Linked DNA regions of Astyanax mexicanus. The protein of the gene in region 1 purifies or fractionates together with the protein of each later gene. This does not show direct contact. Links are inferred from orthologs where the notes say so. Each region holds a gene or a part of one and is shown on either strand. Other genes may lie near its edges.

Region 1 (13,236 bases):
TAACTGTCACACAGTGTGAACAAATTTATTAATTGTTAGATATATATGCTTTCAAACAAAAAGCAACACATTAATTGACATTTTGCATATCGTTTTGATCCATTTGCCTTACAATGTTAGGTATTGATGGGTATAACTGTGGGGGGGTCCATTTTTTTGTATAACTAGTTTGTTAAAACAGAAGCTGAGAAATTAACCAGTATGATTTGGAAGAAATGGGCAGAAAAAAAATCAGTAAATGTTGAATTATGTTGGTATTTGGTTTCCGATCCAATCTAAATTCAGTCTAACTGAACTGTTTTAGACGCCCATCTTAAGTGTAGTGCTTAATTTAATATTTTTAAGTGTAATAGTCCAAATTATAATTGATCTGCCATAATTTTAGTACCATCTCCCATAAGTACATCCCTCTTGTGCCACATGAAACTCTATATAAAATATAGATGTATTACAGACAGAGTGATCTATTTTATGTGTTTATATCTTTTATTGTTGGCTTACAGTCAATGAAAACCCAAGAATTATTGTCTCCGAAAATTAAAATATTATATAAGACCAATTGGTACTGCTGGAAAACCAAATTCCCATCTCCATAAAAACAGCATGAAGTGCTGTAAGATTTTGTGGGAAAACAAAACTGCACTGACTTTAGACTTGCTTTTCTTCTGAGGACAACTTTTATGGAGATGGAAATGTGGATTTCATTGTCCAGCAGGATTTGGCACACTGCCAAAAGTGCCAACTGGACTTAATAGTATTACTATCATATTCTAATTTTCTGAGATACTGATGTTTAAGTTTTTATTAGCTGTATAAAAGTACCTCTATAAAGGAAACCTTTCAATTATATGCTACTGATGATTGGGTATTGGGCCCTCACTCTCGAGGCTCTCAACAACATTCCTTTGCGTTCCTTTACCTCCATGTCATGCCATGAAAAAAGGCATACAGAGCACCAGGGTCAGTTTTAAATCTTTATTATAAAATACAAAATGGGAACATTTACATAAACATGTATGCTGCAGATCGTTTCACAAACCACCAGTTTTTTTGTTCAACAGAATGCAGTAATCAATATTACATCATATCCTATTTAATGTCTCTAGTGTGTTTGCCCTTTAACCTCTCTTTAATGATCTGACCTCACCTCTCAGCAGACATGGTTCCACTAAAACCTTCCTCAGCCTCGCTCTCTGTAAAACTCAGACATTTAAAAACAGACACTGATTTCCATCCGCAGATCCAGTCGGGTGATCGTGCACCAAAACAGCGCTTGATTAAAACGTAGATTCAGGAACTACACAATGACGACGAGGCCACTGTTCTGTAACGAGAGGTCAGAGTTCAGAGGGCAAACAGCTCAGGCTGTTCAGACCTGCTCAGACTCAGGCTGAAGAGGTGCTGTCTCTGTCACATACATTACAACAGTTTAAAGTCTTCAACACTTAAAACACTCATTCACTCATAAGGTGCTTCTTCATTTCAGACGGTGCATGTGTGGACGTGTGTGTGTGTGTGTGTCTCAGTTCTTCACATCAGTTTTTTCTGACACTCGAGCAGCAGAGGGTATATCTGTTCCACAGCCGAGGCGACACTCTGAACATTTGGTCCTGGAGAGAAAGTGAGAAGAGGATTAAAAGTTCATACAGGTCATCATCAAAATGCTAATATACTGTACTAGTGCATCTCAAATAGTTTTTTATATCATTGAAAAGTTACTTAACTTCAGTAAAATGTAAAAATCATATTATATAGATTATATATAGACCAACACCAGCAGATGACATGTCTCTCCAAACCATCACTGATCATCAGTAAATTTTACATTTTATTTGTAAATCAAGAGACCAGAGTCTGGAGGAGGAGTGGAGAGACACACAGTCCAAACTGCTTGAGGTCTAGTGTGAAGTTTCCACCAATCAGTGATGGTTTAGAGAGACATGTCATCTGCTGGTGTTGATCCACTGTGTTTTATTATCAAGTCTAAAGTCAGTGCAGTTTTGTTTTCCCACAAAATCTTACAGCACTTCATGCTTCCCTCTGCTACTGACAACTTTTATGGAGATGTGGATTTCGTTTTCCAGCAGGACTTGGCACACTGCCCACACTGCCAAAAGTACCAGTCGGTCTTATATAATATTCCAATTTGTTTTCTAGTTTAATTTAAATGTTTTTTGAGATGCACTAGAATTTTCAAAATAGAAACTTATTAGGAGAATGGAAAAAATGAAAAACTAAAATGTATTCAGTTCTAATCAGATTGCTGAGCTACATTCCCATTATAAGCCATATTGATAAACTCATATTTGTTTGCTTGCATCATAGATTTTTGCTCGCATTCAGAAATGTGACCTAAACAGGACTGGGCAATAATTTAATTTCATTATATATTGCAAAAATGAAACTCTTTCAATCACACTGATATGATTTTTTAGTTTTATGACATTTCAAATATTTTTATGTAGAATATTTACATCATCTGTTGCTGACTAACATTAATCACAGGTTCCATTTTTGAGATGTTTTCAGATACAGACATTTGTTTTGGGCATACCACCATTTAATGTGTTTTTTGTATCAATCAATGTATTGTGTATGCAATATATTGTATTGTATGCAATATATTGTGAGGTAAATTGCGGTCATATTGTCCATGCCTAGGCCAAATCCTTGTTAAAAAAAAAAAATACACAAATTAATGGCAAATCACTCATTACTATTTTGTGCAATAACTACTTTTTGTGGCACTAAATTCTTTAGACATCTGAATCCACTTTTTATCTTTGTAAAATTTCTCAACAACAGCAGATCATTTGGAATGGCCTAGTTTTATATTTGCAACTGAATTATTCAAAACTTTGAGCATTGCTCAATTATATACACAAAATACATTAATAATTTGCAATAATTTCGCTGTATATTATTCCACTAACTGTAGATAGAGAACTACAAGTAGAGAAAGCTGTGATCAGCGTTTAACAGGCTAAATCAGTGGGTAAGTCTTTAAGTTATGTGGTTAATGCTGTAATCGGGTTACCCTCCATATAAATAACACAGCAACAGCACTCAACAAAGACTTGACAAATCCTATGGAATTTTCCATACATTTTAATTGCATCTGTAGGCTATGGAAGGACTATTAAAGCCGATATAAGCCTTTTATATTCTGCTTTATGTTCAACATTGTTATTATACTAATATATGGCAAATCTCAGGACTTGACTGGATCAGCCTGACTTGGCAGGTTTTTTTTTTAATTCTGTCCAGTCATGCTGTTAGTTCATGACGCGTGATTCGTTGGCCAGGTTTCCAGCCGTGTTCCTGGAGTACTCATTGCTGGGGGCACTTTAGTAAAGCATTGTAGTATATATATAAACATTGTTTAATAAATATATTTAGTTCCTAACATTTTGCAAATATATTTATTTAATATTTATTTGTCTCCACAGACATTATATATGTATTATATAGGTGCCTTGTCAAAATAAGAAGAGAGTCCTATTCTTTTGGCAATATTTATCTAAAGGGAATAGACAAGCTGTGTTTATGTAAATGTGCACACCTGGGTGCAGCTTAAAGTAGATGTGTGCATTCATTAGAAGTGGTGTCCTTTTTTGCTGCCTGATAAAAATGCTGAATCTGCAACTGTTCTAATTTTAATTCAGATTAAAACTGCCCAAATATCATTTTTATCATTATCATTAATAATATCAAAAGATCATGTTAGAAATTTCTGTACTATTTTAATATTACAAGCATACCTATTGTACATCCCATATTAGTAAAAGTGGACATGTTAAAACAGGAAAATACAAAATATACAGTTCATAAGGTTGTGCAGGACCAGGGGTGGGACCTGTGTATTATTTACCTGTTACTGTGATGCTGCCAGTGGAAAACACTTGCACTGTGGCCCTGAGGTTTTTGATTCTATATGAAGCAGCTGGATGAATCTCAGGCTCATAGCTAAAGAAAACAAAACAACAAAATAGAAAATCTCATCAAACTCATGAAAAAAAAAATAACTTAAGCCCAATTCAAGATACACAGAAACACACATTTGAGCATTATTCTCTTAGCAACTGGTACTCTACCTAATCTTCCTACCAATAGAGGGAGCTATTACTCTTCTTATACAGTGATCTCCTTTAAAGCTCTTCTTCAGTCTATAAAAATAGTGGTACAACAACACAGCCTTGTGGCCTACATGCACTCTACATGTTACTGCATTATAAAAAAAAAAACACATTACAATGCAAAATGCACCGAGATGTCCTGAAATGTTAAGTATGTGGTGTATTTAAGGCATTAAGCCTTCAAACCCTGTGTATATATACTACATCCACACTTTACTCAATCCTTCACCATTAAAACTACACTACTACCAGTTTACACTAATTTCATAGGCCCTAAAATAGAACCCTGAGGAGCCCAGTTACCACATATTTTTTGAACAGTGTATGCATTACGTGTACAAATTAATTTAATCATTACTAAATCACTGAGCTTTTTTCCTGTAGTTTGTTTCTTCTGTCCGGGTGAGTACTGGAAGCATTTTCCCCTTTGGTTTGGTTAGTTTTCACACAGGCACAAACCTAAATGCACCAAAATGTGTCAACAAACCACGTGAGCATGTGGTCTCCTCTGATTGATCAGTGGTATCTGGCTCCTGAATGTATATATATAATATTTGGGTCATCAGGAGGATGGATCAGGTTCTCACCATAAGCACACCACTTCGGAGTTCGTTTGGAACCAGTTTTTTACACCTGCCGAAACAAACTGTACCAATGAACTAGAATTCTTTTTACCCAGCCTAAATACTGCTGGTGTGAAAACACCCTACCTCTATTGGGCAGTGCAGCTGATTATATTATTTGTTTTGCATATGTGTGCTCCAAGTACTCCAATAGTTGTTTTATTTGTTGTCAGTATCACAGTTTTAGAGTGTTTCTACAAATCACAGTACTGCAAATCAAATTGATCAACAACTTTCCCCTCTGGGATTAATAAAGTATCTATCTGTCTGTTTGTCTGTCTGTAAAAATGACTGGTCAAAATAATGCAATAATACCCTCCTTAACATTGTCATTAAAATTGAGTAATACATTTGGCAATGTAATACAATGGCATATCAGAATCACAATTAACTTAATGCAAGCATTCCTCAGAGACGTGTGTGTGTGTGTAAATAAATAGTTGTACCTGGCGATGGGACGGTTGTTCTTAGTAAACTCGATGAGACGGATCTGGAAAGGCATGGAGCAGACTGCCAGGACGTTTACAACCTTAAAGTCCGAAAACCTCACCTGCAAGAAAGAGAGAAAGAGAGAGAGACACATGTGTCAGATTGTTTACCAATAGAATACGTATTAACAAATTCATACTTCACAATACTAATATGTATGTGATTAATATGCAGGAGTAATAAACTAAAGGTAAACCTTGAATCCTATCTTCTGGAGGCAGCGAGCTAACCTTCTGGCACCGAGTTTTGCTTCATCCTCACTGTAGAGAAAAATTATATTTACATACAGGGCTTATTACATGCTTGTTATTTGAAAAATGAAGAAATAAATACATAACATTTCTTTCATTTTAAGACCTTGTTGCTCCAGTGCAAATGATTTTCCCTGATGACCATATGGAGGCAGTGATTCGAGGTTTCCGCAGCTTCATTAGAACTTTCTACAAGGACAAGAAACACAAGCAATGAATAATGAGGCAGATTGTCCACATTTACCACATCCAAGATATTGAGAAAACTGAATACCCGGTACAGGTGTGTTAGGTGTTGGGTTAAAGCTAGAGACATGATACTGCTGTCTACAGATAACAGATATCAAAACTCATTATATCATTGTTTATCTTCTCTATCATCTCTATCATCATTATTACCTATATCCTCATTTCCTCAAAAAAACATTTCAAGATGGGTTAAAACGTTAATTACAGACCTAAATCTGCACCCATCAAATCCTGATGCCAGTTCCTCTTTAAACTAATTAATGTATGAATCTCTAAATTATAACCAGTAGAATTTGCTGGAACTTACTCCCACTTCTGGTTTGTAGATGACGTTAGTGCCCTCCAGGCCGATGGTGCGCAGGTTCAGATGGCACCTCGTCCTGAAGACAGAAACCACGTTGGTAATGATGATGTCCAGCGCCACATCGTTACTCTGTTCCACAGGTTCCATTAAGCTTCTTTGGACGGAGTGAACTAGGCTTTTTAAAAATACATGTCCCTTTAAAATATAAAACCTGGTGGAGAAATAATGACAGACACACAGTTACGCTATACATTAATGATGGCATGGTAGTTGATGTTCCGTGACTGCATGTCACCCTGTAAGCATAGCCTACCTAATGTAGGTGGTAATTTGCCATCAGGAGGCCCTAATGGCTTACGGATGCTGTTGCCATTGGTGAACCTTCTGGAGCTGTCTGCTTCCTCGACACTTTTCCAAGCATTACAGAAGAGAGTTTTAATGCACTGCACTGGAAGTGTAAATGTTTGCAACCTTGCTAATTACCATTACTTCTGAGAAAATATATTAATATTGTTATTATAATATTGAAGGATCTACTAGAAACACCTTTGTTGTTCACCTGAATTGTTAGTTTGTTAGTCTCTAAAAACATCTAGATTATTAAATGCAGTATATTATCACTAAATAGTGTGAACATAGTCTACCCTAAAAAATTGAATAAAAAAAAATAATATCTAGCAGCATCTATCTGATTGACCATCTTAGATTTTGGCCAGTTTGATGGTTTATCTGACCTAAAAGCATGATCTTTCTCACTAAGCAAGGTAACCAGCATGAATTGAATTACTGAAATTAAGTAACTTTTTAATTATATTCCAATTTTAATACAGATGCATTTGTACATACATATTATATACAGCTCTGAAAATAATTAAGAGATTACTTTAGTTTCTGAATCAGTTTCTCTGATTTTGCTATTTATAGGTTTATGTTTGAGTAGAATTAACATTGTTGTTTTATTCTATAAACTACGGACAACATTTATCCAAAATTCCAAATAAATATATAGTCATTTACAGCATTTATTTGCAGAAAATGAGAAATGGCTGGAATAACAAAAAAGATGCAGAGCTTTCAGGCTCATAGTCATAACGTTTTAAGACTTCATAAATCAATATTTGGTGGAATAAGCCTGTTTTTTAATAACAGTTTTCATGCACCTTGGCATGTTTTCCTCCACCAGTCTTTCACACTGCTTTTGAATAACTTTATGCCACTACTTGTGCAAAAACATTTTTGAGTGGTCTCTTATTTTTTCCCAGAGCTGTAACGTTATACACATAACGTTATATATAAAATAACGCTAATGATATCAAACCCATATATCAAGCAATAAGAGGATGTTAAGGCCGTGAAAACTATTGAAATATTTTATTCCCTCATAAATTATAAAAACACCTGTGCTGGTGGACAACCGCGTTTCCATGGCAACACGTTGATTACCATTATTAGCGACAGTCGCTAACTCTGGGTGAGAGTTAAGTTAGTTGCTGCTAGTTAAGACACGACATACAGGTTTTTGAGGTGCAGCCGGATTTAGTAAATAAAAAAATAGATAAAAACTGACTAGTGTTAAATAAGGACTTGGTAGAGATTTTACACACAGACTTGAAGAAACTTACGCAAAATTGGTGCAACCCAGCCCTGGACTCCCGCACACCAACCCCTGCCAGCTTCCTCAGAACACTGTGAAACATTCACATTCATGTTTTCAGACTGTGGAAAAGCCTTAAAGATTTAACCAGCAACTCTTAAAGAAGCAGAAATAAGGTAAACCAGCCCTGTTTTTGCTCATTTTACCTTTAAAACAGCTAACTAGCTAGGTTAGCTAACCTAACGTTATGCTAAGCTAGGTTAGCTGCACTGTTTAACTAACCTAGATAAGCTAAGCTAGTCTGTTTACACTACGCATTTCCGCATTTCGCGCCTTTTTATGCAGCTTAGACTTTTTTTTACAGATATTCCTGCACTCTTAACAGCAGCAGATATTTAATAAGACCCCTAATTATCTAATTTATCTTTTCCACAGTGTGTGGAAATCAGCAGTTAGGCTAACTTAGCTTAGCTAACGTTACTAAGGCGTTACTAGCCAGCTAACGCTAACAGTGCATCCCTGCACTACAGCAGCATCAGCAGTCAGAAATGAAGCACTTACTCGTGGGCGGGTTTGGTTAAAGCGGGCTGAGAGCTGCTGCTGATATCTGTATTCAGTGTTAATGCTGTAAACGCCGCGTGTCTCTTTTAGCTCCAGGGTTTAATAAAAACAGCATAACACTGAACAAAAGGCTCCGGAGTGAACACACACACACACACACATACATACATACATACATACAGACACCCGGCTACTGTTGTCATCACCGTCATGTCCTGTTATGGTGCGGGGAAGTGAGGCCTGCTAGCAATGCAGCGCCATGCAGTGGACTCGGAGGGTTGCTGACAGTCACTTATGTTCACTATTCGTAAAACCGACATGTTTAAGTTATAGTTTAAGGAGAACTCCGGTGTAAAATGAACTTTTGGTGTAGTGAACATGATAAAAAGTACTTACCTTTGTTGAATAGCCCATCACCGCCCTCCTACAGCTTTCTGAGATACAGTAATTTTGTAATCTTTCTGTACAATGTCCGTATCTGGGCATATTTTGCCCCAATAAATTGCTTTTTACACCGTTATCCAGTCTTAAAGTAGCTCCAAGCCTCCTTGCTAGAATCCGTAAAGTTGTTATATCCTGACATTTAAAACAATGCATTAATAACTTTAAAAAAGTACAGGAGGATTTGAGATGTCCTTTGTTATAATTGTGGACTGTAAATGTGTAAAGATTGAATGTATGTTGTGTTCAATTCTATGTTCAATTAAAAAATATATATAATAATAATAATAAAAAAAGACCTCGACCAAAAAAAAGGAGAGCAGGAGCCAGGAGGCAGACTATGCGGAGTCTATGTGTATGCCTGTCATTGTCAGTACAGTAATGGTGGCACACGGAGCTAAAAGCTAGCAGCCCAGGATGTAAACATTGTTTAGTAATAAGCTTCTTGAGAAATTTTTAGGATGTTAATGCCTCGTTTTATTGTGTTTTTTTTTTTGGATTCTAGCAAGGAGGTGTGGAGCTACTTTGAGCCTGGATAATGGTGTAAAAAGCCCCGATACGGCCTTGTACATAGTACAAGGGGGCAAAAAAACACAAAAGCTGTAGGAGAGCGGAGGTGGGCTATTTAACAAAGGTAAGTACTTTTTATCATGTTTTACTACACCCAAAGTAAATTTAACACCGGAGTTCTCCTTTAATGCAAGCTATGCAGTACAAGTACTAGAAACAATCATGCTTTTATAATATTTGCAGACTGTAAAGCAAAAAAACAAAAAACATTACATTTTGGAGAAACAGAAGTAAAATAAGGAAATTGAGAGACCTCATAACATTACCTGTATTTTACAGAGATTATCTTATGTACACCTGTGAACACTTCTGAAACTAGGCTATTAAACCCAAAGTCCAAGCCTTTTTATATGTGGCATTGGCAAGGGAAAACTACCCTGAGAAGAACCACAGTCTGAATGCTCCTACAGTAAAGCTTAAGTAAGATTCTATAATCAAGGAACCCTGTGCTTAGCACTGCAGACTTTACTATTTTTAAAAATATCTGCATATTTACTAAAGCTCTGTCTGTACTTGTCTACTATTTTAATAAAGTTTAATTTTAAGAACGTATTTAATTTCGAAAATCTTCACAAAATTATGGTAAAACAGTGTCTCGGATTAGTAGAGGCCCAAATGTCTACAAATGTGTGCTTGGAACAGCAGATTTCACTTATATTACATTTTCACCATTAAACCAAGTGTACTAATATATTACACATTTTGGCTGTGAAAAAACGACTAGAGTCCTAAATCTAATCCCAGAATAAAACAAAATACTGTGCAAATAAATAAATTAATAATCAATGTCATGTTTATGTAATGTCTGATATATTTACCAGAAGAACCAATAGTTTAATTTCTGCATATCAATTTTAGGTTTACCAGTGATTGGTTAGGAATTGCTTTTATCTAAGCATACATGGTGCTTTCCTGAGGAGAGGTTTTCCAGGTGCTTCCACAGGCATGGCTTTTCTTAGGTAGCTGTTAGCCTAGCACACATACCTTCCTGCTTTTTGGGCTTTAGTTAACTGGTTTGGTGAGTTTGAGCTCCACTTCTGTAGACACTGGCACTGGAAAAGCTGCGGTCAGAATGGTTGAAGATGATTCAAATTTAGTAATCAATTTTCTTTTTAATAGAAACACAACAGTGTCTAAGGTTCACTGTTTGTCACTTCTATGTACGTAACAGTTATTGTTCAGCTATGCTAAGGAAAATAGAGATTTCTATTTTAAGGCACCTTACAAACATTGTTAAAATATTTGTGATTGGCTTCACCTGTATAATGAATTAATAATTACATGGGTTAATATCATCAGATACAGGCCAGACTGTATCTCTACAGGATGTAAACGTGTCTAAGACCGGTTGGCTGTAAAAAATTGCACTTTTGCCATGAATCCAGGGATTCGGGACGCGTCCAACACAGCACTTAATGAGGTTTGTGTTTGACACCCTTCCTGTGAAAGGCTGTGGCTGCAAGACACTCTTTATTCACGGCTTTCCACGGCTGTGTTTATTTTGTCCTGTCTCAGGTCCAGTTTTGGAGGTCAGCAGCTTTTTGTCCGAAGTGGACACATCTGGTCTGACTGCATTGTTTGTGGTTTGCGGTTTTTGGAAAGGTGACAGCGGGATCTAAGCAGTGGCCCTGACACGGCTGGGCCGAGAGACTGGTGCTGAGGGCTCTCAGCTGTTGTAGTGCACCATGAATGAGAGCAGAGTTAGAGTTTACTGAATGAACTCTGTCTGCCCGGACCCATGCCTCTGTTCTCACAGTTTAACTTTTAAACAGATGGTGAGCATGAGAGATTTGGGGATTTTGCTTTTATTTGCCCATCATTTGTTATTAGAATGTGTTTATGGAGACATATCAAGTTCACACAGTGCATTGCTAGCGTTGGATGCACTTGTATCTCTAGATCTGAAATTGTGAATTACCGAAATGACAATGTTCTCAACTTTAAAATGACCATGGTTTTTCCAAGCAATTTTGGACCATTTCTGGTTGTTTATTAAGAGTTTAGACCAAAGACTGTAGAAAACATGAACATAATTGTTCTATTCAATTGGTAGACCTAACGTCGTTTCCCCAGACCAATAATATTTCAGAATTTAGTCTATTGGAGCAGAAACAAAGCACCTTTTTTCCACTGGATGTTCAGTTTGTAATGTTTCAGTGAAATGTTTCAACAGAAAAGATGCAGTTTACACTACAAGTTCCACTACAACCCTGCTAATACATGTAATGTACAGAAACACCTCTAAATAAGTAATTTTATTCATACGTGTATCCCCACATTTTACAGCATAGCAGAATACAGATTTTAAAACTGATTATTGGGGGAAAATGTAAAAAAAAATTAATATATGGACAGGACAGATAACTGTTGGAATTGGATACTGGACATGGAAATACAGTTTAGAGGAGAAAAATGATGGCAATGGCAATGGGTGGAGCTACACATCATACTGCAACCAGCCAGCAGAGGTGCACCTGTGGTGGCTTTACTTTAGGAGATGCTGTCCATGTTTTCTACAATCATTGAGGCCAACCATTTGTTGGATCCACAAACCAAAGCCTTATTCTATGGCACCTTTGAAGTTTAGCTTTTTTAAATTAATGTTTTTTCAAAAAATGTTTTTTAAAGAAAAAAACTAAATGTAGTAATGAGTTGAGTTCGAAAATTTACCGAAAAAACACATTCTTCTTCTCCATCCTCCCCTCTCTCTCTCTCTCTCTCTCTCTCTCTCTCTCTCTCTCTCTCTCCCTCTCTCTCTCTCTCTCTCTCTCTCTCTCCCTCTCTCCCTCTCTCTCTCTCTCTCTCCCTCTCTCTCTCTCTCTCTCTCTCTCTCTCTCCCTCTCTCCCTCTCTCTCTCTCTCTCTCTCTCTCCCTCTCTCTCTCTCTCTCTCTCTCTCTCTCTCTCTCTCTCTCTCTCTCTCTCTCTTCCTGCACTGGACATTTCCCAAACACAACAGCACAATAGCTTTGGAGTGATTCAGTGCTGTTGTTTGGGTCCTCCTTGGTTACCAGATAGGCTTTGTGAAATCTCAAGGGCCACTCTGGCAGAAATATACTGATGTAAATAAAATAAATTCTGCTTGGAAAGCCCTGTAGAGATGTCCCGAGCTGTTTACTATAAAGCCTGAGATTTAAAGCAGGTTAGTCCAGTGTCGGACCACAAGCGTTGTCCCCCCTCCGACCCCCGCCCTCCTCCTCCCTGCCGCTGCAGCCTTCAGAGTCTTAAGAGTGTTTATAGACTATAAAATAGAACTTAACGTCATTGAAATTCTCTTCCTGAGAGAAATAATGCAGCGTTCATTAAGATAGAAGATACATAAACAGGCAGCAGAGAGAGTACACATCCTCCATCACTCCCTCTGCTCCTTCTGCTCCTCCGAGAGTTCAGCCCAACGACTGCACTCTTTCTTCTCTCTTCTATTGTCTTCCTTTTCATATATCCTTTTGTTCTCTTATCTTGTTCTATCTGTTTTCTTCTCTTCTCATATTTTCACTTCTCTTTTCATCTCTTCCTTTAAATTTCTCCAGTTGTTCCTTCTTCTTGTTCTCATCTTGTTTACCCTTTTTATTTCTTTTCTTTTTCTTCTTCTTCTTCTCTTTTCATTTCTTTCCTTGTCTCAGTTGTTTTCTTCTTCTCTCTTTTTCTTTGTTCCTCTCTCTACTTTTCTCTTCTTTTTTCATCATTTTTTACTTCTCATAATTTTTACTTGCTTCTCATCTTCTTTTTTTCTTTCCCTTCTTTTTTTCTCTTTTTTAACTTTTCTTTTTTCTTTCTTTTTTCATCTTCTGTTGTGTTTTGGTCTCCTCTCTTATGTCTTATTTTTTTACATCTCCTCTTTTAACCCCTGTTCTTTTTTATTCTCTTCTCATTTATTCTCTTTTTCTTTATTCTCTTATCCTTTTATTCTCCTCACCTGCTTAACTGACCATCTCTCCTGACCTCTTCCTTCTTTATTGTCTTCTCCCTTCTTTCCTGCAGAGGAATGACAGTCTTTGCTGTAAGACTAGCATCCTCAGT
Region 2 (12,361 bases), on another chromosome or scaffold:
GATTGAACAGGTGATGTTCTTCTTTTATTACAGTCTGATTCTCTGCATGGTGGGATTAAAGCAGCAGGCCGTACCTGCTCTGTTCAGGTCTATCAGAGTCTGGCTGTTCTGCTCGTCATGCAGACTCTTCCCGCTGTCCTGCTCCAGCTGGATCTGTTTGATCCTGACACGCCTGCTCATCACCTGACCCCTCTTCTTCCCTCCTAAGTAGCTGTAGTTCAGTAACCCATTCACTGCAATGGGGAGTCTCTGCTGGGTGATCTGGTAACCTGCCTGAGAGTGAACACACACACACACACACACTTTATAATCTGAAATACCGTGCTCATGTAATATAACTAGGTAGAGGCAGAATAAGGTAGAGTAAGGTAAAGGGAGGTATAGTAAATGAATGAGGTAGAATGAGGTAGAGTGAGGCAAAATGAGAGAGCGAGGTAGAGAGATGTATAGATTGAGTGAGGTTGAGGTCCACAGTGAATGCACACACTAACAACTTCTTATATTATGGAAAAATTAGTGCAGTCAAGCAGTTGTCTCTAAAAACTAATTTTATTTTAAAATCCTTTTTATTGTGCTTCACATCAATATCAGGATATTCAACAGCGTTTTCACACATCACAGTTTTTCTCCCTAATCTGAAACAGTCCAGCCACATTTTGTTCAGTGTCATTTCAATTACTCTGACTTTAATTAAAACACTTTGGCCAAAGGCCCAATCCAGCACAGAAAGTTCCAACTGCAGATCCAATTCCATCCGAGGAATTTGTTGGAATTGACACGGATACAATCCTGCCATATGGGCACTTAGGCTCTGACAGATAAAAAACATGGCTGTCAGGATGTTTACAGCAAATTAGCTGGATTTTAGCTGCAATTGCTTTTTGGAAAGACAACCATTTTTGGTTGCTTTTAGATAAAAACTGCAACTGCAAATAAAAAAACCCTTAATATTTCATTTTATTGTGGATAACATAAACCCAAAATATACAGCTCCTGAAAAATTTAGAAACCACTTCAGTTTCTGAATCAGTTTCTCTGATTTTGCTATTTATAGGTATTTGTATAAATAAAATGAACATTGCTGTTTCTTTAATTTTACAATTTTACTACAAACATTATTTATCCCAAATTCCAAATAGAAATATTGTCATTTAGAGCATTTATTTGCAGAAAATGAGAAATGGCTGAAATAACAAAAAAATATGCAGGGCTTTCAGACCTCAAATAATGCATTATTTAAAAAAAAATCAGATTTTTAAAAATTTTAATAGTTCAGAAATTAGTATTTGTTTGAATAACCCTGGTTTTTAATCACATTTATGCATCTTGGCATGTTCTCCTCCACCAGTCTTACACACTGCTTTTGGATAACTTTATGCCTTTACTCCTGGTGCAAAAATTCAAGCGGTTCAGTTTGGTTTGATGGCTTGTGATCATCTATCTTCCTCTTTATTATATTCCAGAGGTTTTCAATTTGGTAAAATCAAAGAAACTCTTAATCTTTAAGTGCTCTCTTATTTTTTTCCAGAGCTGTATTTCATGCTTTTTCTTTATATAAGTCAGAATAAGTCAGGACTACAGACTTTTACAACCAATTTTGTATTGTTTTGTTAAAAAAACTAAATGGACACCCGTCTTGAAGGCAGCACATGGTAATATAAATCATTATTAATATTGACTTATTAAAATATTTTTGTAAATGAATGCAGTACTGATTGAAAACATAATATTCTGAGACTTGATATACTGATATTTTCTTACACCTCTAATCTAAAAACCTGTATTTTGTTCTTTAGGCTGTTTGGTCTTCAGTTAATTTGGTCTTTAGCTCGTTTGGTCTTCAGAGAAAAGATCCTACACCACTACTACACACTGTTCCCATAGCAACTCCTCTGCTATTCCACAAAAACAAGAAACAAAAAAAGAGGGGGAAAAAGGAGAGGATGATCATTAATCATAGTTATTGGCGTGCCAAAAGAAACAGAAAACATATACACAGGGAAAAAAGACACCGCCATCTGTGAAATCCACCAAATCAATTAATTTATTACTGGAACCAACAAAAACAAACGCAACTGAGCAGTGGAGAAATTGGATTTGCGAGGCTGAGGCGATGGATGAAGGAGAGTAATGATACACAGTTTTTTGCTTTATTGTCCCTCAGGATGCTCTCCTCCAGATTTAAATGGGAAAATCATCAGTGGTTAGTGAATGCAGGAGAAAACATCCACTTGGGGTATACTGGATATCTGTACTGCAGCCAAATAATAAGCCAGAAAAATAAAACATGGACTACAACACAGTCGATAACCGGGAAATTATTCTAATGGTGCACAACTCTACTATTGAGCAGGATTAGATGTTATCACACCTGAAAGTGCAGTCCAGAGTCTGGACCGAGGTTCATGTATGTGTTGCATCATATTTTGTACATTTAGTCCAGTTAGTTTTGGTTGAACACTGTAGTTAAGTGACTTTACTACATCCTGATATCATCATGCTAGCATCATCATGGGTGGAGTCTCCTTGTACTTCACACTGATTGGTTTGTAGACGGGTGTCAGTTTAACATGTTGCCTTTACAGATATTGAGGCTAATTCTGCCTTCCTGACACAATTTTACTTCACGTAAAGTTTCAGTTTAATCTAATCTATGAGCTAATGGGTTCAGGCTGACAGCTGATTTTGTCACCAACAATTTGTTGTGCTTGCTGAAAAGTATTTGGACATGGTCAAATTGTTTTTTTTATAATGCTGCCATGATCTATAGTGCATTCAGCCAGTTCATTAGAAACACCGTATGGCTGCGACTAATATTATTGGAGAATACACATTAAATTTTCCAGATATCTGATATTTTTCCACCACTAAAGCCCTTAACTCAAAGATGTTGTCCATTTTCCTGCCTACTCTCATTCATTTAACTGTGTAATTCTTCTTTCTTTTTTACTTCTTCTTTTTAAAAGTCACATGAATTCTGATCTGGCTGTTCAGACTGAGTTGTATTGCCACAAATCAAATATAAATTGGCCTAATTCGAAAATTTAAATACACGATCAAGTGTGCTTTTTGCTGTTTACACTGCCACACAAACGACATCCCTGTGCCACATATAACATAAAAGATCAGATTTTGGGCCACATTTACCTGCTGTGTAAAGTTCTGTATGCAAAGATGTACAATCTCCATTACCCTTTTTTAAAATCTTGATAAATCAAAATAATTCTATTAACCTCCCTGTCCGAGATAAGGGCTGTGTAAATGTATTACTATAAAAAAAAAAAAACCTAAACTATCGGTTTAATTGTGACAGAGATGCGGAGGCTTTATCCAGGCTTTGTGTCAGAATTAAAGCGGCAGTCACGCTGAACGTTTCTACCAGCTCTAATAACATGGCTCGGCACCCTGGCAGCTAATCCACACGTCTAATTACAGTCAGTGTTCTTCAGCAGAGCTTCAGGACACACGGACATGCTTCACAAACGCCACTCTAATTCCAAACCACTGCTGGGGTGAAAACCAGTCAGGGGCCTGCTGGTACTGGAGAATTGGGCAGAAACTCAGCACTTTTCCTCACGTATGTTTGAAACAATATTTGACACTTATTCTCGCTTTTTCTGCTAGTTATCAGCACAGCAGCGGGGCTGTCACTGCTTACCAGAAGTCTTTACTGCCTCTCAGGGAGAAAAAAGACCAGCAGGTAATCTTATTAGAACATTTTTAATCAACTGGTCACACTGCAACGCTGAATGCACTGCTTTAGATATTGGAAGAAAAAAAAAGAAACCAATTCTAGAGTTAATTTAGTCTGTAAAATCTCAGAACTGCTTTTAGTTCAACATACAGTATGTTGGAATTACACTTTATTGCTACTTGATTTTTAAACATGCTTTAAACACACTGTAAATATTATATACCAAATGTAATTGGACAGGAAGTAGTATTGTGTCCCATGACTTTTGTCATGTCCTATGGAAGGTAAAGAACACTACACTGACCTGTGGGATGTGTGTGTGGTGACTCCTGCATTGATTTTAGTCATGCAGGTTATGCTGGTGATGATAGTGAACATCTCACGATACGATAATATTTGTTATTTGATGAAACAATGATGATTGTTTTTTTGGCATATTAACAATTATATTTTCTAACATAATTAAAAATAAAAAAGCTGCAGTTAAAAAGTAATTTTACCTATTTTTTATTGTATCCTATTTTGGGTGAAAGGCTAGCATGTGTCTTCTCATACATGCAACATGCAAATTCAGCCACCTCAGCCATTTCTGCCGGTGTTGCAGAAATACCGGGTATCCAGCGCACTCCCAGGAAAGTGCAGCAACCCAGCTCTTATACATCAGCTAACAGACGCCTGTGCTGACCAACGTTACATTGGGAGGGATGAGGGGACAGAGCGCCAATTAACCACCCAGAGAGAGCAAGGCCTATTGTCCTCTCTCGGACTCCGGCTGCTGATGGCAAGCAGCATGATCCAGGATTTAAAAACAGCAATCCTCAGATCACAGGGGGAGCATAAACTACACCTCGGTCCACTGGACCACTCAGAGCCACCAGGCATGAGTTTCAACAGGTTCTACTGCTACATTTGCCATGTTTGTGCCAAAGTCCTTCCACAAATGCTACAAACATACTCACACAGTTTGCTTTGTAGTATACACAATCATTAGATTTATATTCTTCATAAAATAAAAAAAAATGCTCACAGGCATATCAGCGTAAAAGTAGTGCTTCCTGTCGAAAAGAGACTTCCTGTTAATGGTGCAGTTGAAGGCCAGGCCCGTTATCACTGCTGCCTCCACACACCTTTTGTTTAGCACCTAAACAAATACAAAGCGCAGACAACACAGACTTAGTACCATGGTAAAATGAAAATTCATGACTTCTTTTATGACTAAGGTTAAATACTGAACATTTCATTAGAATTTTAGTATAAAAAAGATACAATTAATCATTATACAAAGAGATATTTGTGCTCTAAAATGCTCTAAATTACATAATTAGAATTGTTTCAATATTTCTATATACAGAATCTCTACCTTAACCTGAAAGCTCTAAAACCTACCGGAAGAGTTCCAGGCAGAGAAGCATCTAAAAACGCCACTGATGAATTGGGTGGGCTGTAGAAGGTCACGCGTGAGCTGGAGAACAGTTTAGAGTTCGAGTGGATCTGTGCATGGATCTCCAGCCCAACGACCCCACACAGCTGAGGGGAAATACTAATGAATCAGAAAAACAGTCTGTTATTATATATATTATATTAATATAACAAATTACAACAACCTTGCAATAACAAACAACATGTTAAGGGTTTTGGAAGTCCTGATAAAACATTAATTAGCCAGCATGCTAATGCTAGTGATATTAGGGAACATAATGATACAGTGACCGTCCCCTTTAATGCCGCCTTCTTGTTTTTATACTTTAGTATAAAAACATGTTGTTTTTTTTTATATGTTTTTTAATTTAGTACAGTATTTAGTATATGTCACTTAGGGACTTTATGAGTTTATGACTAAGAAAGTGCTGTAAGGAACTTATCTTAAGTCACAATCTTGACTTAAGCCTTTATCTGAAAGAGGTAGAATCAAATGATCTGAGCAGCTGAGGGTGTAGGAGATTTTACCAAAGGTGGCCATACAGTATCATACGGACAGAATTTAGGCAAAAAGACAATTTTGCCAAAAAATGATTTTAAGTAATTATTTTAGGAGGGTGACAATATGTAACTGATGTTTCAAAAGTCAGTATCTTTGAAGAGCGTGTTTATAGTCCTCAGTCTCTATAATTTAGTTTTAATTTGTTTAAGAACGATTTGGCTGGAGACAAATTGCTGGTCTATAACCATCCTGCATCTTGTTTTCCTCAGTTTAGACTTTACAACATTTAAAACTCACCAATAAATTGTGTTTCTTATTGTCAAGCCTTTCATTAAACATATTATAAATTACAGATTTAATATGTATATTTATATATTACTGTAATCTATTACTGTAACGAATAACCTGACTTCCTGAGAATGATAACAGCATAATAGGAGGTTTATGGGAGATTTTACCACAGGAGAAGATTTAGGTGAAATATTCAAAGCTAATTATTTTAGGAACAATATTCATGTATAACCTGCTACAGTAATAGAAATACTGTCACGCGTTTTTAAGCCACAGTATAAAGGGTTTCACAGTAAAACACTGTGGGTCTGGTTTCTTTATAAAGCCCATTCAGACCCTGATGACCCCTGGATGAGAAGAGGAAACACTAAACCCGCTCTCTTACCGGTTACTCTGAGTGCTGGGCTGAATCTGTCGTGCGGATCCAGATGTGCACAGACTGCTGATCGAGGGGTTACACAGCTGAACACCGCAGACATGTCTAAATCTCATAAATCCACACAATCTCTGCACTACTGCGCTGTGTCCCGATGAGGAGGCAGCCATTGCTGAGTGTTTATAACGCGGGGAGATCTGGGAAACCGAGTTCTTAGCAGCTCTGTGGAAGAGCGACAAGCGCAAGAGCGAAGTTCCTGAGAACTACATTTCCCACAATGCAACAGTACCACCCCGCGTATTGACGCATTACGTCGGGATCCCACGTGCGAGAACCGAATCTTACTGTGCCTGGATATGTAAAATTAACAGATTAAATAAAAAATCTAAAACTCATTTGTGAACCTGTTTAAAATATATATTACTGTACCAGGAGATATATTAATAGTACCTTCACCTTGAATCTTGAGTTAATAAAGCAAGAGTCTTCTTACAAAAATAATAATTTTAGTGTTAAGTACGTTTACAGGTGAATACTTTTATTTAATAGGGAAGGACTAAAAATAGAGTACATACTCTTTTCTTTTTAGGATTCAATATATTTTAGGTTAACTGGAATAATCTTTTAGCCGTATCTACGGCTCTGATAAATACACACGTGAATCCCGCCTCTTCCTTGGTGATGCACTTTCATCATTTCCGTCGCACAGGCAGAGTTGGCGGGAGATTTTCATGTGCTGCAGTGCTGAGTCTGCTAATAATGCCAGTTTAATTGTTTATTTTTTTATTTTAAAAAGCATTTTGTTTTATAATCATTTAGCATTGAGGCAGTGGGTCAGTTTCTCTCTTTTTCACTGTGAAAACATAGGTAGAGTTAGTTGCCCATTGCGCGTTTGTTTTGAATCTGTTATTTTACCTCTTTTTAATCACTAAAAGTAAACTCCGTGATCATGGAAGCTCAGCAGAACGGAACCGCCCGCGTTAACGGAGCGGCGCGGCCCGCGGAGACCCCCGAGCAGCGCTCCGACCCGGAGGGAGGGCAGTTCAGCTTCAGCGCCGAGCCGAGCCTGGAGCAGATCCGGCGGCTGCAGGCCGAGTTCACAGAGGAGCGCGACTGGAGCCAGTTCCACCAGCCGCGGAACCTGCTGATGGCGCTGGTCGGGGAGGTGGGCGAGGTGGCGGAGCTGTTCCAGTGGCGCGGGGAGGTCTCCGAGGGCCTGCCGGGCTGGAGCGACTCCGACCGGGAGAAGGTCGCCCAGGAGCTCAGCGACGTGTGCATTTATCTGGTGGAGCTGGCGGAGAAGTGCCGGGTGGACCTGCCCCAGGCCGTGCTGCGGAAGATGGAGCTCAACCGGAGAAAATACCCGGCCAGCAAAGTGCACGGATCCGCGAAGAAGTACACCGAGTACACGGACTGAGGCTGGCCGGGCTACACGCATTCTCACCTGGCTACACGCGGCTGGAGAGCCCCTGCTCTGAGTTACAGCCGCGGAGCTGCTTGTGGATAAGCCCTGAATCCCCTTTGCTTCAGCAATCAGTCTTTTATTTTAAATCTATCCTTTTTTATTTAGGACATGATTTTATCTCGTTTTTTGCACGTGTGTACAGACCTGGTAAAGGAACTGTGGGGGATAACTTTGGGACTTTTGCACTTGTTTCATCACAAACGTGCCAGTTTCGCCCTGTTTGAACAATCAGTACTATTTTATTTTTTTAAATCTTTGCTCCAAATGGTTGATTTTGACATTTGGTCTACTGTAAATGACTCAAGAATATTTGTTCACTGTCCATATTTGAGTAAGAGCCAAAAAGCATGTTACTATATTTTATGCCTTCGTTGGAATATAAAGAAATGGTTCCTAGTCTTTATTTTCACCTGAAGTGCAACGTTCACCCCTTTTGCTGCCACTAAAAAAAACTACACTTAAGGGTAAAACAAAGGTTACCAATAAACTGTTTTGGTTCTTTACAGTTTAGAGTTTTCTTTGTTCTATAATCTGGTTTAAAGCTGCTCAGCAGAAACACATTTTTGGTAAAAACCGATGATTTTAACCAAGTGATATTTTAAGAAAAATAAGGGTAAATTGTTTATAATGGTTTAAAAAAGACTGAATATTGTGTACAAACAAACGTGTCTGTCGTACAGTCTTAATTCTCAAATACTATATTTTTTGTTATTTTTTAAGCATTACTATGGTTCATTTTGTGGTGTAAAACGAGCTGGGAAACAGGGCACATCAATACTAATTAGAGGTGTGACGAGAAAGAAATATATTATTAAAACTCACAAAATGCAAAAGTGCAGGTGATTTAAAAAGAATGGATATTTAAGTAATTATCATGTAATTCTGATAATTAAGGTTTACTCGTACTTATAATGGATTAGGTATGATTTATCAAATGCAGTGAAAACGGAGCCCAAGACATACTCTAATTATGTCCGCTTAGGGTCAAGATATAATATATAAATATGTTAAAATAACATTGAATAATACAAAGTCGTATTACACATATAAAGTGATTTTTATATTATTTTTGTAGTTGGCACTCCAATATTAGGTTAATAGATTCTGCTGTTGGCTGCTGCCACTGTAGCTAAGCAGCTCTGTGGTGGATAATAACATACTTAGCTAATAATGGGAGAAGTGAAGAATTTTCTCTCTGGAGCAGAGAAAAGAAAAAAGAAGCTTGTGGAAGAGAAAAAAAATTGCAGGATTAAGGTAGGTTTAAATATTAAACTTTAACAATAAGTTTCCTCATCATTAACCAATTAGGCTTCCGTTCAGTTTCTACTGTGAATGTTTGTTAGCTGGCTAGCTAACAAAAAGCCCTTTAGCTAGCATTATATATGCTACCAAATAAAATAAAATGTAAGCTGTTAAATATATAAACTTAGGTTATTAAAGATATCAGGACGGTTTAGTATATTCACTTTTACCTTATTGTAGGTTACTTACACTTCTAATGGTGCTGTAATAATGTCGGTTTATTCCTCTTCTGAAGTTAGCTAATGCTAACTCTCCGGTACTTCAGGAATACAGCAGATATATTATGATTTTCACGCGGATGTTTGTTTGACTTAACATTATTTGTTTTTTAAAAAGCTGTTAATATTTAGGGCTCAATTGTTGTTTTTTTAAACAACTAAATGTGTAATACGCAGTAAACTCTGGGTTAAATTGGAGAAAAATGTAATAAAAATAAAACAAGCTGTGCCAAGTAAATTATCTAAAAGCTCTCAAAGTATCAAATTACACCAAACGGTTAAGAATACACTGCCTGAGTTTTAAGGATTTTTTAGGTGTGAAACCTAAATATAATGAACCCTCTATAGCATACCTTATTTATGTATTTAACTTATATATTTTATTTTAAATATAATATTACAAGGCATACCTGCGTATCTAAGTTACGTCCAGTACTATGAGGCGTTAAAGTACCAAGTTCATAAATAAAAATATGTATATATGCAAGAATATATGAAGAAGTATATTTGTCTTACTATATTCATACATTCTTGTTGTAAGCTTGCTAGAACTATATATATTAATTTGTCGCCTTGTTAAGGCAATGTTACGTATATGTCGTTTATCACATTTTAGTTAGGGCCGTCATGATAAGACAAAGTCTCCAAAATAATTATTTTTTCTCCCCAAAAATACAATTAATTAGAGGGTTAAAATAGTGGACAAGTACATGCAGGGCTTTGTGTGTATTTTAAATATATTTTTTTTCTTCATTACAGCAGCTTACCTTTTACTGTAAAGACAGCTGGACTATGTTGTCTTGGTGCTTTATCTGAAATGGAAAAAGGTTTGTAGGTTTTCTAGTTTCCGAAGTGTCCACAGATGTAAACACTTGTGCTGTAAATACAATACTATCTGTAACATCCAGGAAAATGTTTGAGACGTAGCAGAAATAGAATATTGTTTTTATAATTAGGTCGTGTTTATCAGTGCTGTTAACAGATGAAAATTATCCTCGCTCAGCTCATCTGGAGACACTATTTCCTCACTTTGCTTTTAAAAAAAAAGATTATAAAAGCAAGTTAGTTCTCACAGTTACTATAGTTACCTTAAACATGGCGGTTTTGTGATGTTATGCATAGTACACACGTCTGTCAACGACCTATAGCATGTTTGATAGTTAACCTTATGTCATGATATACACAGAAAATCATCAGTAAGAGTTGAAGGGTTGTTCAGCTATATTTTTAATTTTACCTGGCCAAAGGTGAACACATTATACACATCCACAATGTGTATAAACAGCCACAGGAAAGAAAAGTGTATTTTCTGCTGATGTTACTTTCAAATAGATTAAATTAATATACCGCACTGTATTTAAAAGTGAATACTAATTTGAAAATATTTGTGAGCTTGCTACACAATAGCCAGAATAACACGACTATGATGAAATCTAAATAAAATCAGTACTAATGGTAGTGGGTGGGTATGATACACACACAGTGTATCTTATGGAATAATGAGTAATCTGGTGTTGAGGCGGTGGTATGATGGGGGCCCAAATGAAATTCTGCTTAGGGCCCTGTAAAGACTTGGGCCAGCCCTGAGTAAAATACAGAACAGTGTGCAGGTACTGCAGCTGGTATAAAATCAACAACTTCTCTCCTGTATGATCTCTCTGTGAGTGTATGAGTGTGTGTGTGTGTGTGAGTGTGTCTGCCCTAAAACTCATCTGCTTCTGTACAGGGTTGGAGCAAGCAAGGCTGATACAAGGTTTTTGCGGATGATGCAAACGTTACTGGAGTATGAAGGGTGAGTGTAATTATAATAGTTAAATAGCCCCTGTTTCCCATTCATAAGTGTGTTATTAGTGATAGAAACAGTGAATTTTGGGTCTTGGGAATGTTGAGTGTTTCTAATGCCAAATGTAGAAGAAACAAGACACTGAGTTTGGATAGAAATTACATGAGTCATGCCACCCAGTCATTGTAATAATTAATATGTTTATTGGAAAAGGCAGCAATATAAATTTAAAAGACACATACAGAGGATAGAAAGAACAGAGCATGCTCTTTCTCTCATCTCCCTGACAACCATCTTCATACCCCTTTCTGGGTAGAACAGAACATTGTAGAATAATTCATACATGATGTGGTCATATGCTTAATTATACTATGGTAGTGTGGATAAAGTATTCAGGAAGGACCTTTGTTGGACAGTGGTTTGGTGAAAAAAGATACACTAAAGCCCTTTCCGGACAGGATTAGTTTGTCAGGAGGTTCTGGGGTAATTTTCTCTTTTATAGGAGGTCCTCTGTGATTTATTTCAGTCTGGAATGACCATGTATGTGAAAATCACAGGCTCAATTACTTACAGTTTTTCACTGAACTCTGTGGTCCTCCAGTTATTTTAGTCCCATCCGGATTCACATCTAAGTTTCGTCATCTCGCGTCTGGATGCAAGAGTTTTATCACTGAGTAGAAGGTAAAGTAGAATAAAAACCCCCATCCATAACAGAGCCCCCAAGCTCCTTAACAATGACTAATATACGCAGTCTTACAGAGCTCATCTTATAACATGAATTACAATCCTACACACAAAATAAATATTTACATAACCAGTTATTCACTCTAATACACATTACATTAGGACATATAGAAGAGGTCGGTATAATCTATAGACAGATATAATCCATTATATTAACATCTCTTCCTTTTACACAGGTCAACTGGAACACCCCCTGCAACAGACATTTCCCCCTACCCAATTAAGGGTATAGAAGCTGGGTGACCCGCCTGCTGCCACTCCCTAAGGACACAGGTAAGTAACAAGTTAATCTGCATAAATGAAAATTAAAAGTGTAAAGTGTCTCTAAAAGTCTTTTAGGAGTTTAGTGATTGGTAAGGAGAGCCTACCATATCTCACATACAGTATGTGACCATATATCTAGGAATATATCTAGAACAGTACATTCTGTGATCACATAGGATGCTGCAAAATAGAGGAAGAACAATCCAAAATTCCTCCTGTTGTTATAAACACCATGACAACATATTTGAACACAGTTCAATCTATGTATGAAACTTAAAAAAAAAACAATGTTCCATATAATTA

Evidence for each region.
Region 2: the proteins of eya4 (region 1) and dctpp1 purify together in Homo sapiens (affinity purification with mass spectrometry; 3 studies listed by BioGRID and IntAct, with this or other methods). This does not show direct contact. The link is inferred for Astyanax mexicanus from reciprocal best matches to the Homo sapiens genes EYA4 and DCTPP1.

What each region holds. Positions count from the first base shown.
Region 1 is NC_064420.1:44,140,663-44,153,898, reverse strand, and holds the start of eya4 (eyes absent homolog 4), read left to right. Parts: upstream 1-7,685; 5' UTR 7,686-7,822; intron 7,823-8,207; exon of another isoform or gene 8,208-8,410; intron 8,411-13,236. Other genes in the region: tbpl1 (TATA box-binding protein-like 1), read right to left, coding at 1,531-1,610, 3,872-3,966, 5,206-5,309, 5,445-5,508, 5,606-5,688, 6,056-6,199. UniProt on the Homo sapiens protein: Tyrosine phosphatase that specifically dephosphorylates 'Tyr-142' of histone H2AX (H2AXY142ph). 'Tyr-142' phosphorylation of histone H2AX plays a central role in DNA repair and acts as a mark that distinguishes between apoptotic and repair responses to genotoxic stress.
Region 2 is NC_064432.1:20,653,358-20,665,718, reverse strand, and holds dctpp1 (glutamyl-tRNA(Gln) amidotransferase subunit B, mitochondrial), read left to right. Parts: upstream 1-6,957; 5' UTR 6,958-7,231; coding exon 7,232-7,699; 3' UTR 7,700-8,252; downstream 8,253-12,361. Other genes in the region: gatb (glutamyl-tRNA(Gln) amidotransferase subunit B, mitochondrial), read right to left, coding at 75-273, 4,722-4,835, 5,081-5,234, 6,292-6,452. UniProt on the Homo sapiens protein: Hydrolyzes deoxynucleoside triphosphates (dNTPs) to the corresponding nucleoside monophosphates. Has a strong preference for dCTP and its analogs including 5-iodo-dCTP and 5-methyl-dCTP for which it may even have a higher efficiency.